2 linked regions of the Stegostoma tigrinum genome follow. The protein of the gene in region 1 purifies or fractionates together with the protein of each later gene. This does not show direct contact. Links are inferred from orthologs where the notes say so. Each region holds a gene or a part of one and is shown in the gene's direction. Other genes may lie near its edges.

Region 1 (7,826 bases):
CAGAACACGGACCATGATTAGCAAACTTTGGACATCAAGAAAGTTACATGGAAAGAGAATTCTCTTTCCCAAGAAGTCACTGAATTTATTCCAGGCAGACTTTTTGATAGTGCAAGAGTTATTGGGGTGGGGTGGGTTGGGGTGGCAGAAAGGAAGTGGAGTTGAGACCACTACCAGATCAGCCATAACTTTAATGAATGGCTTGAAGAGCCAAATACTCTACTCCTGCTCCTAAATCGTACGTTCCAATAAGAACACAAGAGAAGAAATGTGTTGAAGTTAGATGAAGTAAGGTCCAACAGGATTACGAAGGTGGAAGTTTTGAAATTGTGTTTCTGAATATGTTGGTATTAAAACAAATTCATGACAATATAGTATAGTAACTACAAGAAAAACAACTTGGAGGTGAGAGACATAATGTAGTTTTGTCATTCCTAGTCTTAACAAAAATATGATCTTAAGATGGTTCAAAATTCAGCTCAGAGGAATTTATGACAAACACAAAAAAGCAGTCCTGGAATGCCACACATCACAGTATAATTTCAAACTTTCTTCACGTAGATTTATCAAATTATGCAGCACCTAAGCACTCATTTTATCAAGTTTCACCTGCGAATGGATGATAATCATTCATTTTCAGAAATCACGCGACAATCTACCACAGGCCAACACTGGCACCTCCAAATCATTCATTTTGCATTTGGCCTAACTTGCCTGCTGCTGAACAGCAGGTGATTCCATGTACTTTAAAAGGGACGATTCTACCTCAGTCTCGTGGGGATTTCAAATCCTATCATTTTTCTTAAAGCGTCTGTTCAGCTTCGAAAACGTCATAGATTTAAACTGAGATAGTAGGAACTGTGTTCCTTCAGCTTCACACCGTGCTATCAAAGATTTAAACTGAGGCAATTTCTTTACTAAATCAGCGTAATTCTCTTGAGTATTCTCACCGACATCTACTTCACATACAAAAAGTCGGCAAAACCGGTTTGTGAGTTGCACAATACTAATGTGAATAGATTGTGTGATAGTGGGGCCACACTAAATACATACAGTATTTGTATTTCCACTTGCAGAAATGGGTGATGACTATTTTTGAGAATGACAGGTCAGACAGTCCTTACCATTAAACTGGGATAAACATTGACACAAAGAAGCTGCTTCCTGCAGCAGTCGAAGATGCCACGCGCCAGAAATCAGTCCTCACATATTTAGGCGGTTCCTTAATCCGCCTCTTAAATTGCGTTTTGTTTTTCTTTCGCTTTCACTGAAGCTGTACCGCGCCCGTTGCAGAGGTGAAGGGGTGCAATCTGGTCGCCGCCGCCGGTTCGCTGTTGCGGCGCTTTGTCCCTGCGCGGACGCTGTTGCCACAGCAACCGGGAATTGTCGCGTTTTTAACTTGCCCCAGTCCGGGCGGAGAGACTGCTTCTTGACCTCCAGCAAGGAGCAGCATGACAGGATGCTCCTGGGCTGGGAAAAAGCCAACAAGTGGCTCATTCATGAGGGAGAAAGCAGCGATATACAGCAAAAGAATGGAAGTTCATGAATTTAGAGTCATAGGGAATATTGGAGTCAATGGAGTGGCAGGCTCCCTTGAGACCTTACGGAATGGGGGTGGTTGTTTCTGAGAAGGTGTAGAGCTGGATGAACACAGCAGACCAAGCAGCATCAGAGGAGCAGGAAGGCTGACATTTCGGGCCTAGAGCCGACTTCAGAAAATGAAGACTCTTTCTGAAGAAGGGTCTAGACCCAAAATGTCAGCTTTCCTGCTCCTCTGATGCTGCTTGGTCTGCTGTGTTCATCCAGCTGTACAACTTTTTGTCTCAGATGCTCCAGCATCGGCAGTCCCTACTATTTCTGGGTGGTTGTTTCTGCCTTTTTGTGAATAGCCTGGGGCCTATAGATGAGGATCCCATGAATAGGATTAGGAAACAATGGTAGAACCAGTAAATTTCAGGCAGAAAAGCTGGAACCGCAACAAATAATGGTTGCTTATAAGTACAGGATCCTTTGAGAAGACTACTTGTGTTTTCTTTAAGCTTTCCTTTCCCCAGTCATTTCTTTTAGGCTGAGTTAGATAGTTTTCGTAATTATCAAGGAATTCAAGGTTATTAGGGCGAGGCAGGAAGGTAGAACTGAGGCCACAATCAGATTGGCCATCATCTTATCAATGGCAGAGCAGGTTCAAGGAGATGGACGACCTACTCCTGATTCCAACTCATTTTTGTATATTACTCAATGAAATTGAAAATGGGTGGGTCTAACAAGCAAATGAACAAAAAGCGGCAGGGCTGTGAGGCATGAAGAACTGAACAAAGGACCTGTCCTTGGACATATCACCACTACAGAGAAAACCAAAAAGCCCACGCCAATTTGGTGTAATTTTGAGGGAAACTTGGGAAAACACACACATACACAAGGTGATGAAAAATTAAATGGACAATGCTGGAAATTCTCAGCTGATCTGACAGAATGTGCAGAGAGAGAAAAACAGAAATGTTTCAGGTTTCAGGTGGATTTTCTGAAGAAGGGTCTCGTCCTGAAATGTCAGCCTCCCTGCTCCTCTGATGCTGCTTGGCCTATTGTGTTCATCCAGCTCTACACCTTGTTATCTCAGTGTTTCAGGCGGGTGCCTTTCATCGGTTAATTGCATGTTATCACAATACTTCAAACCTTGAAGTATTAATATTAATATAACCTTTCATTTTATTTAATTCCTAAGTGTGAAAGAGGACACAAGAGAGTATCTCAAAAGGTTTGATTTACAAAGTTTTTTTGAAAACAACTCTTTAGATCTGGATACATTCATGCTGAGTTGTAACTCTGTTTCTCACTCCACAGATGCTACTAGACTGGATGAGTATTTCCAGCATTTTTATTCAGATTTCCAGCTTCTAGAGTGTTTTGCTTTTGTAAAAATAATACTGTTTTGAGGATAAAACAGTTGAGCAGAATTCAGAGCTGAAGGACATATTTTAACCATGCCCTTCTTGGTAGAGGTGGAATTGGGTAAATGTTACTGTATCTCAAGTACTTTTAAAAGTCTTATCTTGTTCAAGATTCTGTTAAATGTAAGTACATATTTGTAATCCAACTTTTCCATTTCCCACCACCACCATACATAGAAATATACTTACAGTCATCTGTTGTCAATTGTTATTGTCTAGTAAGTAATAAACTGCTGGGAAAATGAGAATGCTGGAAAGAGAGAAGGCAGATCACATTCCCAATGTAAATCCGCATCACAATTTCCATTCCTCACAACAAATAATTAACCCTGGTGAAGGAATGAGTCAAATTCTCTGTTTTATTATCATAGCGATTGCAATGCTCAATCCTGTTTGTTTATACTTAAACGTAATATCTCTACCATGATTTGTACATGGGAATCCAATGTAACATTTCCACATTTGTTGAGGGAATTTAGATAGGTGTACTGGATGGGCAAGAACCTGGCAGATCGATTATAAAATCAGAAACGTGAAGTTATCCACTTTCATAGGAAAAACAGAAATGCATATTATTTCTTAGACAGAGACGGTTTGTGAAGTATTGGTGCCTAAAAGTGTTCTTGTTGGTGAGTCACTGAAAGCTAACATGATGTTTAGCAAGCAGTCAAGGCAAATGTATTTACACCTTTATCCCAGGAGGAATTGAGGACATGAGTGAAGATGTCCTGATGTAACTGCATTGAGCCCTTGTAAGACTGCATCTGAAGTATTGTAAGCAACTCTGGTTTCCTTATCTAAGAAAGGATGTACTTGCCATGAAAGGAGTGCAACAAAGGTTCATCAGACTGATTCCCAGGGTGGCAAGACTGTCCTGTGAGGCAAGACTGAGGAAAGCGAGCCCATATTTTCCAGAGTTTAGAAAAATGAACGGTGATTTTCTTGAAACAAAGGAAGTTCTTGTTTGTCTTAATTAGATAGATGCAGGAAGGACATTTCCTGTGGGGGTCTAGAACCAGTGCTGAGGTGAATGACCAATCTTCATTTCATTCAACAGCAATAATAGGCTCAAGGGACCGAACTGCCCCCTCCTGCTCCTGTTTCCTGTAACTGTCCAAATCAGTTCCTAGTACTTTCCTGAGATCAGAGGATTTTCTAAAGGAGTGAGCGGGCTTGTAACTATTTTGGGGACTTGTGATCCCGTCTAATGTTACCTCTTGAAAGACAGAGGGGTGATCGTCTCCACTACAGGTGCTGCCCTGGTGTCATTCAGATTTGTCTGCGTTTGTTTTCAGTTCCAGCAGTTCTTTAGATATTGTCCGAAGTATATAGCAGATCTTTGGGCTCCCTTGGCGCAGTGGTAGCATCCCTACCTCTGAGCCAGGAGATCTAGGTTCAAGACTTGGTGTGTAATAACGTCTCTGGCTGCATTGTTTAAAAATATCTACAGTAGACGTGCCGATTTCGTAGAGATGATAGTGAAGATATATCAGCTTCATGACAATTAAACGTAACATGATTAAGCTGAAACATTATCACTGTAAATCATATAGGTGTGGATAAGACACTCTGCCTTACGGCAGTTGGCTTACAGACAGCAAGCTTTGTGTGTGTTTTCAGTGGCATCTTGTCAGGGGCAGGGCTGAGAACATTACTGCCCGTGCCGCCTGAGACCGGCTCCACCTCGCTCCTTCTCCCTCTACGCATTCCCAATGGTGTGACGAGCTACACTGACAAGCCGATTGGCTGCACCACTCGGCTACATTTCTCCATTTATGGACTGATTGGCAGAGTTATCGTATTCACCGGGACGATCATTCACCATTCCTCCCTCCCTCTCTGAGTGCAGAACGCTCGGGGACACCCCGGAGCTACAAGGCCTGATTCATCCAAAAAAAAACTTGATCATCTTTTCTCTTCCCCCCCTTCCTCTTTGAAACATGGATCCACCCACAGCATGTTGATGCCTCCCTCCACTGTGGACTCCAGGATCGACAGTAGATGGAGTTCAACTCTATCTCGGAAGCAGGAGATCGCCAGTGAAGAGCATACAGTAGGTGGCACCGCCTCGATTTAGGCAGCAGACTTTTCCCGGAGCCGGCATAAATTCCAAGGAAGCAAAATGGTAAGTCTGATCATTGTAACAGTGGACTATAGAAAAGGGCTTTAGGATATCTCCCCCCACGGTGGGACAGCTATGCTGAACTCAAATCCTCGGTACAGCGGCAACCAGATCAGTTCCAATGCTTGACTTTCGAACAAAAAGACTGTTTCCAAAACTGATTTAAAAATCTGCGGTAGTCCGGCCTTCTAATTGCGCTGAAAGTAACCGGCAGGGAACGCTCCCTGGGCAGCTACGGAATAGCCACAGGTTGGAGGAAATGCTTCAATGCCGAACGAGTCCAGAGTTCAATAAATAGAACGGGTCAGGAATAAACATTCAAACTCCCAAGGTGCTTAATTTTTCCCTGTAGCTCACGTAAAGTGTTTTTTTTTAAACTGGGCAGGAAACTGGCAATCCCAGTTTCATCAATCCAAGTAAAGAGTTGCCTTAATTAAAGCGATTCCTTTTTGAAGGATCGCAGTAATAGGAAACGAAATGGAAACTTGTTGTGATGTTGTGCCCAGTCTGCATTGGCCACAAGTCGCGGGAAATGTATTATTCTATATAATTGAATATTGCTGAAAAAAAGTCACCATGCAGACTCAACGGGCTGGTGTTTTACTAATTCAGCACTTGGTTTGGTTTGGTAAACTATTGTTTATAGTTGCTACTTCCATTGTAGCAAAAGTAAACCATCGGGTCACGGGAATGATGGAACAGTTTTTGCGTTTTAAAGATTCCTGACTTGTCCTTCTCTCCCGATTCTTTTGTAACTGGCAACAAAGTTTCAATTTGGATTATCTTGATCTGTCCACTCAAAGTCTAATTAATTGTCATCAAAAAAGGATGAAACTCTAAGCTTTACGTGACAGTGAGCCACTTTTGAAGAGAAATAAATGTCTCCTACTGGAAAGCGTCGAAATATTTATATCCATGTATTATTCAAGAAGCATCTTTAAACTATATACCGAAGTTGACCAACCCCTGGAATACATATGGTAGATTGTTTCTACAATTTTGACGAGTATTATTTATGTTACTGTGTGCGATCGTATGTGAAACTAGTCAAATACTGGTGTGCAGCTATTGTGTTGGATAAGCCTCACTGGTCATTGTTTATGTTCATCACTGACTGACTTTGTGATTATCACGTGCAGGAACAGCAATCTATTCATCAAGGCTGATCCTGAAGTCGTCTGTAGATGTTGTAATCTTAGAACAGTTCATCTCGTTTTCTTCTCAGTCCCACTTTAGTATAAGAGCTTTGCAATTTTCTAAGATTGTCTTTAGCTTTATTGGTATTATTTATTTCTGTGCTTCCCATCCAGCACCACGTATTATTTCCTATCTGAAACAATGCATCAATTTTGATGGGAGTGGTAAGAAATTGTAAGTATGTGCAAGCAATCAAGTGGATTGCAAGAGATAACAAGGTGAAGAGCTGGAAGAACACAGCAGGCCAAGCAGCAGAAATGGACTGCAATGTGTCCATCTCCAAGCATGCCTGTGTCCTAAATGTTAGTGTGTTCAGGTAATGCTTGGACCTCAGATATCTGAAAGGCGTGGCAGATAGGTAAATGAGGAAGAAAAATGCCGGAATGTTGCTAAGATCAGATGAAGACTGGTGGGAAGCTTGTATTGAGGGACTCTAGCATGGACCAGTTGAGCAAAATGTCCTGTTTCCAGGCTGTAAATTTAATGCAAGTTTTGTGTTTTGGAATGTGAACAACTTATTTTGTTTAATCACCTTTTAGATTTTATCTTCAGGAAAGCTTTTAAAGTTCCTATTTATTGAAATGTTCTACCTATCCATAAAGACAAGTAGCTATGATTGCATTTAATAATGAACTGCCAGAATAGCATCAGAGATAGTAAGAACTGCCGATGCTGAAGTCAGAGATAACACAGTGTGGAGCTGGAGGAGCACAGCAGGCCAGGCAGCACCAGAGGAGCAGGAAAGTTGACGTTTTGTGTGGGGACCTTCTTCAGAAGTAGCATTATCTGTGATTCGAGTTCATGTATCAACTGCTATTGGTAATTGTTTTGGAGTCCAATTCAACAAGACGTAGAAAGTGACCCAGTGAGCTGAATATAAAACAAAACCCTTGAGTGCCTTTAATTTATTTTGAAATGGACGTGTGGAACCCTTATAGAATTAGTTACGTCACAATACATATGGCACCATAACATGATAGAATTTTTTTATCAAGATGGAGAGTGAGGTTGGTGATTTGCAGACTAGGGGGATGAACCTTAATAAAGGAAACTATGAAGATATGAGGCATGAGTTGGCCTTGATAGATTGGGGAGAATTACTTAAAGGGATGACAGTGGATAGGCAATGGCAAACATTCAAGAAACACATGGGGGAACTACAACAACTGTTTATTCCTGTCTGTCACAAAAGCAAAATGGGTAAGAGAGCCAATTCAAAGCGTACAAAGGAAGTCAGAGATAGTATCCAATCCAAGGAAGAACCATACAGCTTGGCCAAAAATAATAATACAGCTGAGGATTGGGAGCAGTTTAGAATTTAGCAAAGAACGACCAAAGGATTATTTAAGAAGGGGAAAATAGAGCACAAAACTAAGCTTGTCATAAGGACTGACACTAAGAGTTTCTATAGGTACATGAAGAGAAGGAGATTGGTAAAAACAAAAATAAGTCCCTTCAGACAGAAACAGGGGAATGTTTAATAGGGGACAAAGAAATGGCTGAGGAACTGCATACATACTTTGGTTCTGTCTTCACGAAAGAGGACATAAATCAGATAC
Region 2 (7,820 bases), on another chromosome or scaffold:
TAAATTAGATGCCAAATGTATACGCCACATGCCATATGCACTCTTTTTCCTTCTTCAGCTAATGCTCTAGTGCTTTTATTATCCATTGAAATTTGGCTTTGTTTGTTCCTTTTCCCCTGTGGGCAAATACATCGACTGGCCATGAGCCACCCCTTTTCAAGACATCACATTGAAATGGTCTTTCCTAGCAATTGTCTGCTTCCAATTCTCATGGGACAAATTTACTTTGAAATCACTGCAACCTGTCCTCCTTCTATTAGTTTTTTTATATATTCTAGGGTGCTTCTCGCCCATGGCTTAACATTTCCCAGACGCTTGATCCAGCTTATTAGAAACAAATTAGCAATGCCTTTCCTCAATAAAACAAAAAGCAAAATATTGCAAATGTCAGAAAGCTGAAATAAAAATAGAATATTCTAGAAATCCTCAGCAGGTCAGGTAGGATTTATTTGTCATGCTTTGTACATTTACAAACATGCAATAAAAAACTATCTTCCACCTTATTGTACACTATCTTGGCCTGATTCCATCCAGTAGTTACTATATTTTATCCTAAAGCTACCACAGCTCTCTCAATCCTTGGTACACGATGTTTCTCCTTACTAATACTAAACCTGATTATCATCTGCCAGTCAAATTAAATTAAACTGTCCTTAAAACAAGAGCAAACCAACCATGGGGACATTGGTCCTGACTTGCTTCAGGAGCAACTGTCGAGCTTCATCCCTCAAAACTGATCCAATATCTCTGTAATGAAAAGTGCTCTCCTGCATCATCTCTCCAGCCACATATCCATCTACTCCAACCTCTTATATTTCTTCTCGCTCGTGTGTGAATCAAGATAAATCTGGAAGTTGCTGTTTCTAACATGTTGCTTATTTATTCTCTTTCCTTCCTCCCAAATGTCAGGCTGCAGAAGTTCCATTCCACTTTCTGCTTATGTCATTGGTACTGAAATGAGAACTGGCAGCTGTTCAGCCTCCTCCTTCAAAATTCCCTGAAACTGCACAGGGCATCCCTGATTCTGGTGCCTTGGAGGAAACTTTCCATCCTGAAATCTCATCTGCACCTGCAGAAGAGCATCTCAGTTCCCGTAACTATAAAATACACAATCATTATTGCTCTTCTGATCTTTCAGCTGTTTCCATGTACAGCAGAGCCACTCACGGTGCCATGGCCCTGGCTGTATTCTCTAAACGAACCCGCTTCTTCATTAGAACTCAATACTGGTTAGTGAGTGAAAGTCTTTGGAAGACTATGACAATATCTGCCTGATCCTTTTTATCTGTTGGCTATGTCCCAGTACCTCCCTGCCTGCACACTTTTAAACTGCAGGGGAAATGTGTCGCAAAATGTTATCAAAACAGTGTGAATGCACGACAGTAATCCCAGCTACTTCTGAACCTCTGAAGACTGAAGCTCTAGCTTCCCGGATGCCATCACTTCCTGCATGTGGTTATCTAGGATAAATGAAATGTCCTGGATTTCCACATGATGCAGGATGAACAATCCACATGCTTAAAGATGTCAATGTGTGTATTAAGCTATTAATTTATAGATACATTGAAGTGTGAAAGAAAAAAAACTCACCATTTATTCAACAGCTTCTCTTGTGCAGGATCATTGAGGTCTTATCTCTCTCCTTTGTGCTTCTGCTCTTTTAGTTCTCAACAGATGCTATAAATATAAAACACAAAAATTTAGTACACTGACAACTGATTTATAAATCTGCTTTAAAAAACCTCGGGTTCTTTTGCTGTTCTGGCATTAACATCATGTTTCGATTTCTGCGATGTGTAATTTACTTTTCCTATTCTTTTCAGATCTCTGCTCTATTCCTTCTCTTTTGTGTGCAATACTTCAGAAAGTACTTCACTGGCTATAAAGATTTTTGGGATATCCGGATGTTGCAAAGGGCACTGTTTAAATGCAAGTATTTCCTCACATTTTAATACTTAATTTCTACTTGCTTTAAATCATAAACATTTAAAATTTCATTAAATTGTTTAGGGGAAGATTTCACGTAACTTCTTCATGAATTATTTAAATTTATCTTTGACTGCTTCCCCATTGTCATCCCTTTATTCTCAACTGCTAAAGCAGATTCTCTACAGAATATCGCCCTCCTCTTAGTACCATGCACCTTATTCTGAACAATATTGTGACAGTGGAGCCATTGAGCACCATATGCAGTCACAGAGTCCCGTAACTCCAGACAGCAAAAAGCCAAATTACTAATTTTAATTCTGTGTTCTGAAGAAGAGCCATGCTGACTTGAAATATTAACTTTGCTTCTTTCTCAATAGATCTGGTAGATCTGTTGAGTTTCTCCACTATTTCTGTTTCATTTCAGATCTCCAATGTTTCCAATTCTTTGTTGTCATTTGTGAATTTATTAACTTTGACAAGATGGGTTGCACACAAAGCAGCGGGAGCACGGGGCCATTCACCCCCAAAATCACAGCACAAGGAGCAGAGGACTGTTAAACCTCTGACAGTCAGTTGAAAGAGGCCAGAATTCAATCTCACTCAATTTCAGCATAATTCATGAAGTGAGACTTTACAAATGTCTCACCAACAGTGTTTGTTTTGTGTGCACGAATAACTACAGATTAGATTTGCAAATCTGACATAAACACACAGGTGTCCTTTCTCAGGGAAAAGAGGGCATGCAAAGTAGAAGTTTGCCCATCATTTTTAAATAATAAATTAACAAACTATTGAACCAATCAAGAAGTTATTGTAAGCATTTTCTCACTTATCACTCCATTTATTGGTCGTTGGACAGAAAAACATTTAGGAATGCTTTATGCCAGCTAATTTGATGCAACTCAAGAGTTAACAAAATGGATCAGGAACCAAATTGTGGTTGGAACTCACAGCAGAGTTTGATGAAGGTGCCAACGACTGTGTATTTTCAACTTCATTTCATCATTGTTTTGAACCTGCCATGAGAAATAAAAAAGATGGATCGAAAAACCCTTAAATAGGTGGATGTGACTGATTTCCTCTTCACGATATAATCTCCACTCCAGTTGATGTCCCAGACTTGACTGAAGGATGCTTCATCATTGTACTTAAGTCAAATATATCAAAAAAAAGGAGCTTTTGGCTTTGTGTGAGTGCAGAGCTAATCAAGCTTCACAAACACTATTTCTTTTGTAGCTGTGATACCCTCCTTCTGTAACGATATAGTATGATTAACTGACTAGGATAAGACTTACATTCCTTCAATAGAAGTGTTGCTTCGAAGTTATTCCAGAGATATATATCACATTTTGAGAGAACTGGTTTAACAGAAGTTGGCTTTGTTCAACTGGAAGCAAAACTCATAATATTTTAGTTGTATCAAAGTAAGCTTTATTGGTATCACAATATTCAAGTAAATTTACAATGCATGTTGATTGACCTCTTGCATATTTGAGAAATGTAATTTTAATATGATTAAAGTGGAATTTAAGATTGGATTTAGAGTTCTGGGGCTTTGAAATAAATTGGCTTAGACATTAAGCAGCATAGATTACCCACACCCAACACCAGTGTGTGGATCACTCATGGTCAAAACTGGAGAGCAGGGAACAAGAGTATATCCAATGACAATATTTTAAACAGGTCAAATTGTGGGATACAGCTGTTGCTTACCGAAAGACCCGTGACTTACCAAAGAAAATTGAATACACTTTCTCATAAATTGATTCCAATGTTGACTGTTCCATTGTTAGTTTTGCTGGCATACCTGTTCAGCTAATGCAACTAGTGTTTTGGATAGAACTTCCTTTTTTCTTTGCGGATTTCTCTGCAAAGAGATTGCCAGGGCCCTCAATCTTGCCTGTCTCATTACATACACTCCGGCCCTCAGCATTTCCCCTCCATTCCAGAAACCTCAAGAGTTCTTGTTTTGATCTCCACTCCACTCCACTAGCATTTCCCGTTGAATTTGTCAGCCGTTGCGATTGTTAATTGCCATGTTAAGATGCCACTGAACACACCGTCGCTTCTATTTCAGCATTGTGAAGAAATCATTCACTGTCAGTTACCCTGGTTCACTCTGTAATCTCATTCCCCTGCCCATAGCAATATTCACGAGATACAACGCCTGACTCTTTAACTCTTCTAATCATCCGAAGCCTCAGAACCACACTCTTGAGGATAAAAAAAATTCCTTGCACGTCTTTCAATTAGTAAACTCTCCTTCTCGCGCTTTGGGATCAGTATAAGCTCGAGAACCATTCAAAGGGAAAGGAAAGTAAACCCCCTACAGGCAAGGGGTGTGCGGCCGCAAAAGAAGGGGCTCTCATGCTTCACCTTCCCAACCTACACTTATAGGGATGCCCAACAGATCACAGGGAGTTTTAAAGTTGAAAATCCGTTAATATTTCATGTCAGAGGCCAACCATTTACCTGCTTCATCTCATTCTCCCATAGGACCAGTGACGTCTACACGCTCGGCGAGGGACGAGACACCGAACGATGATGCCATCACGTACGGCAGGGTGGGAGACGGCAGGCGAAGACATCATTGCGCACAACGTGAAGGGGTGCGGACACTGCTGCCGATGTCATCACGCTCAGCGTAAGGGCCGGTGGGCGGCTCTGCCTGAACTTCCGGGTTACACCCCACACTCGACAGTTCCTCAATACGGTGTAATATCTGAGGAGACTGTGTGGCAAGAGTGATTTTCGACTTTGTTTTAATCGGAAAAAATTACAAATCAACTGTAGCAATAATGTCGAAACCGCCGCCTAAACCGGCCAAACCAGGTAAGGTGCCGTTTCTTTCGAGGCTTGTGAGACTTTAAAGTCAAATTGATTGACTCCTGGTCTTTTCTCCCCAAAAGAGAAGTTGTTGCCACATTTTCCCGGAGAACAGTCTGAAACACCTCTTTATGGCTGTCATCATATCTCTGAGCTCTTGAATTTTCAACGCAGTCCAATCCACTTGTCATTCTTGTGGTTTTCATGTAAAATTCTCCAAGTGTTCTTTTTACTGTGTTTAATTGTTTTCCACTCAGACCCTTGTTGGTACTTTACTGCGCAATAAATGTAAAGACTTTGGTGTAAGTGCGGGTAAATCTCTAAGCCTTGCTTCCCCTCCTCTTGGTTTGAAAGCAGTTCAATTCTACGGGTGGGGTGCGCGAGTAGTCGCCCCTGTGATTGACAAATTCGCAGCTCTACTCTGGCTAGAAGGGATACTGTAAATATTTAACACCTTTCAGTTTGCGTTTATTTGTGGTGTCAAATTGTGACCTCGTGTTAATATAAAAACAACCATCTTCCAAGATCTGGTGGTTCAATGGCTCTACAACAATTTTTTTCAAATGTCAGTGTGTCATTCTTTGTGCATGCACAACTCGCATTTGTGGGTTACCACTAACTATCTTAATTATGAGGCTTTCTTCAAATATGACTTAGAAGCATGAATTAAACTATGTTTTATGTGATTTACTGATCTTGAAGAATTTTTGCACCACAACCGGGAGAGGTTTATTTGCTTGGGAGATGTAATTACACGGTGATTTTGACTGGTGCAACAGGAAATTTAACAGTTGCATAACAGCACAATTTGACCACCCAAACCAATTCTTGAAATATGCAAACACTTTTGGCACTTCAGTCCCATGTTAGCTCTTCAATTTTGATCAATGTATCTGGAGCCTGACCAAGTGGGCCATCGCACTGATCGAATGCAGGCCTTTTTTTTAATATGGCAAACGAGTGACCCTGAGATATAGCAGTATGTATTCGTTTATGTGAGGCCAAATTAAGTTCTTCTGATGGAGCACGGTGATGATCTGTCTAGTGAGTCATTGACATCTTTTTAGATGAATAAGCAGATTTATTGTATAAAAGTAATGAACATTGCAATTTTTGTGGAATTTACAGTTTTGTGCTGTAGCAGCAGAACTAATGCATTAAGCATACTTTGCCACTGCTGTGGATTTTCCTCACTTTACTATGCATGCCATGTATCAGCTTATTGTTAGTACCAATTAGAACTACTGCTCAATTATATCTCACCACTGTCCTGACAATCTGCATCATTTGATAATAAAAGCCTTTAACTTTTGCCTGTTTAGTCTAAGATTCATTCTAACAATGAATGGGAGTCATTCTAAAAGTACGTGTATGAATTTCTCCAGATAATGTTCACCATCAACCTCATAGAAATTTGTTTGAGAAATATGATTCTTTTAACCATTTTTTCAGAGATGGGTGAGGGGCAATGGGCACCTGCATCCTCTGACTTGTCAAATGCCACTGAAATTACTTAATGTTTAAATATGTTTGGACTTTTGTTTTATATAGCTGTTATCAGATTCACTTTGCTAGAAAAATACATTGTGTGTTAACTTTTACGTTAACTTTTCTTGAGATAACTGAAAATATTCAGTTGGTCATTGAATTTTCTTTTAAATTCAAAACTCAGTATGAGTCCATCACAATGTCTGCTCATAGTTTGGCGATTCAGTCCTGACTCATAACCACAGCCTGTGTTTGAATACTACCTTTATTTTAGTGAACTATCCCAAGACACTTAGCAGGATTGTTATTGAACAGACTCTGAAATTAAGCCATATAAGGTTGAACAGCTTGCCCAAATAGAGTTTCTAGGGAGAAAGGAAATGTGGTGGGTCAGGGGTAGAAATTTCAATACTTGCGGCCTAGGTTAACTGAAGATATGACCACCTAGTGATGGAACAGTTTCAAACAAATGTACCAGACAGCAGAATTGCACGACTGCAACTAACTTGGGGTCTTGGAAACTGAAAAAAGTCTCAGACAGAATATTTCCCATTCACTTTCTTAAATGGACAATATTGATCGTATGGCAGTGGAGTGGGAAGGTTCTTTCTCAAAATGAAACATGTGGCAGACAGTGTTTCTTATGTTCCTTGTGGATGAGGTTACATGCCTCTGCAAACAACCGGCTTTATTAACTTGAGATAATGGAAACTGCAGATGCTGGAGAATCCGAGATAACAAAGTGTGAAGCTGGATAAACACAGCAGGCCAAGCAGCATCTTAGGAGCACAAAAGCTGACGTTTCAGACCTTGACCCTTCATCAGAGAGCAGAAAGTGCTTTAGTAACTTAATTAGCAGCTAGACATTACACATCTTAAATATTTACATTTCAGTGAGTTGTTATCTGATCTGAGTGAGACATTGTGGGCCATATCTAAGCTTTTATTCCAGTCGGGAAGAGTCACCAATACAGAGCTTCAAGTTGATGAGTTTTTGGACACGATTTGAAAGCTCAGTTTTGGAATAGAACCCATCCAAAGTGGCTTTCCTCTTCTGATCAGAAGGCTCTTTTCTTTGAGAACAAGGAATCTTTGTTGTAGCTATGACTTGAAAACAGTCTTTTCGATATTTGAGCTAAGAAAATGTCCCTTTTTATTCAATGGCTATTGTATTTTTACCTATTGCTCTGATGAAAGGGTGATGGGTGGTTGTCTAACTGTTAATATAACTACAGAGTCTTTGTTCCCATTGTGGTATTCATGTTACATGCTACATCAGTAGCACAAAAGCATGTACATCAGCAATGATCAGGGATGGGAATAGTGCTTTTGATTACAAATGTGTAGCTTTTTAAAAATTTGCCAATGAAAAATAGTTTTGTAGATGATAATGAACTAAAGCTTTACATTTATAGAGCTAATTTAATGAAATATCCAAGGTGCTTCACAAGAGCATTGCAAAACGAAATCTGGACCACATAAGAGATTAGGTTAGATGGCCAAAAAGCTTGCCCAGGCATGGGTTGGATAGACTGTGGGGGAATGTATTGGAATATTCCAGTGTAGAAGTAACAAAG

What was found.
Region 2: the proteins of myo1ea (region 1) and ostf1 purify together in Homo sapiens (co-immunoprecipitation; 3 studies listed by BioGRID and IntAct, counting the BioPlex papers as one, with this or other methods). This does not show direct contact. The link is inferred for Stegostoma tigrinum from reciprocal best matches to the Homo sapiens genes MYO1E and OSTF1.

The regions. Positions count from the first base shown.
Region 1 is NC_081386.1:17,739,681-17,747,506, reverse strand, and holds the start of myo1ea (unconventional myosin-Ie), read left to right. Parts: upstream 1-4,676; 5' UTR 4,677-5,070; coding exon 5,071-5,073; intron 5,074-7,826. Other genes in the region: protein FAM81A-like, read right to left, coding at 1,125-1,127. UniProt on the Homo sapiens protein: Actin-based motor molecule with ATPase activity. Unconventional myosins serve in intracellular movements. Their highly divergent tails bind to membranous compartments, which are then moved relative to actin filaments.
Region 2 is NC_081356.1:66,465,946-66,473,765, reverse strand, and holds the start of ostf1 (osteoclast-stimulating factor 1), read left to right. Parts: upstream 1-4,575; 5' UTR 4,576-4,727; coding exon 4,728-4,761; intron 4,762-7,820.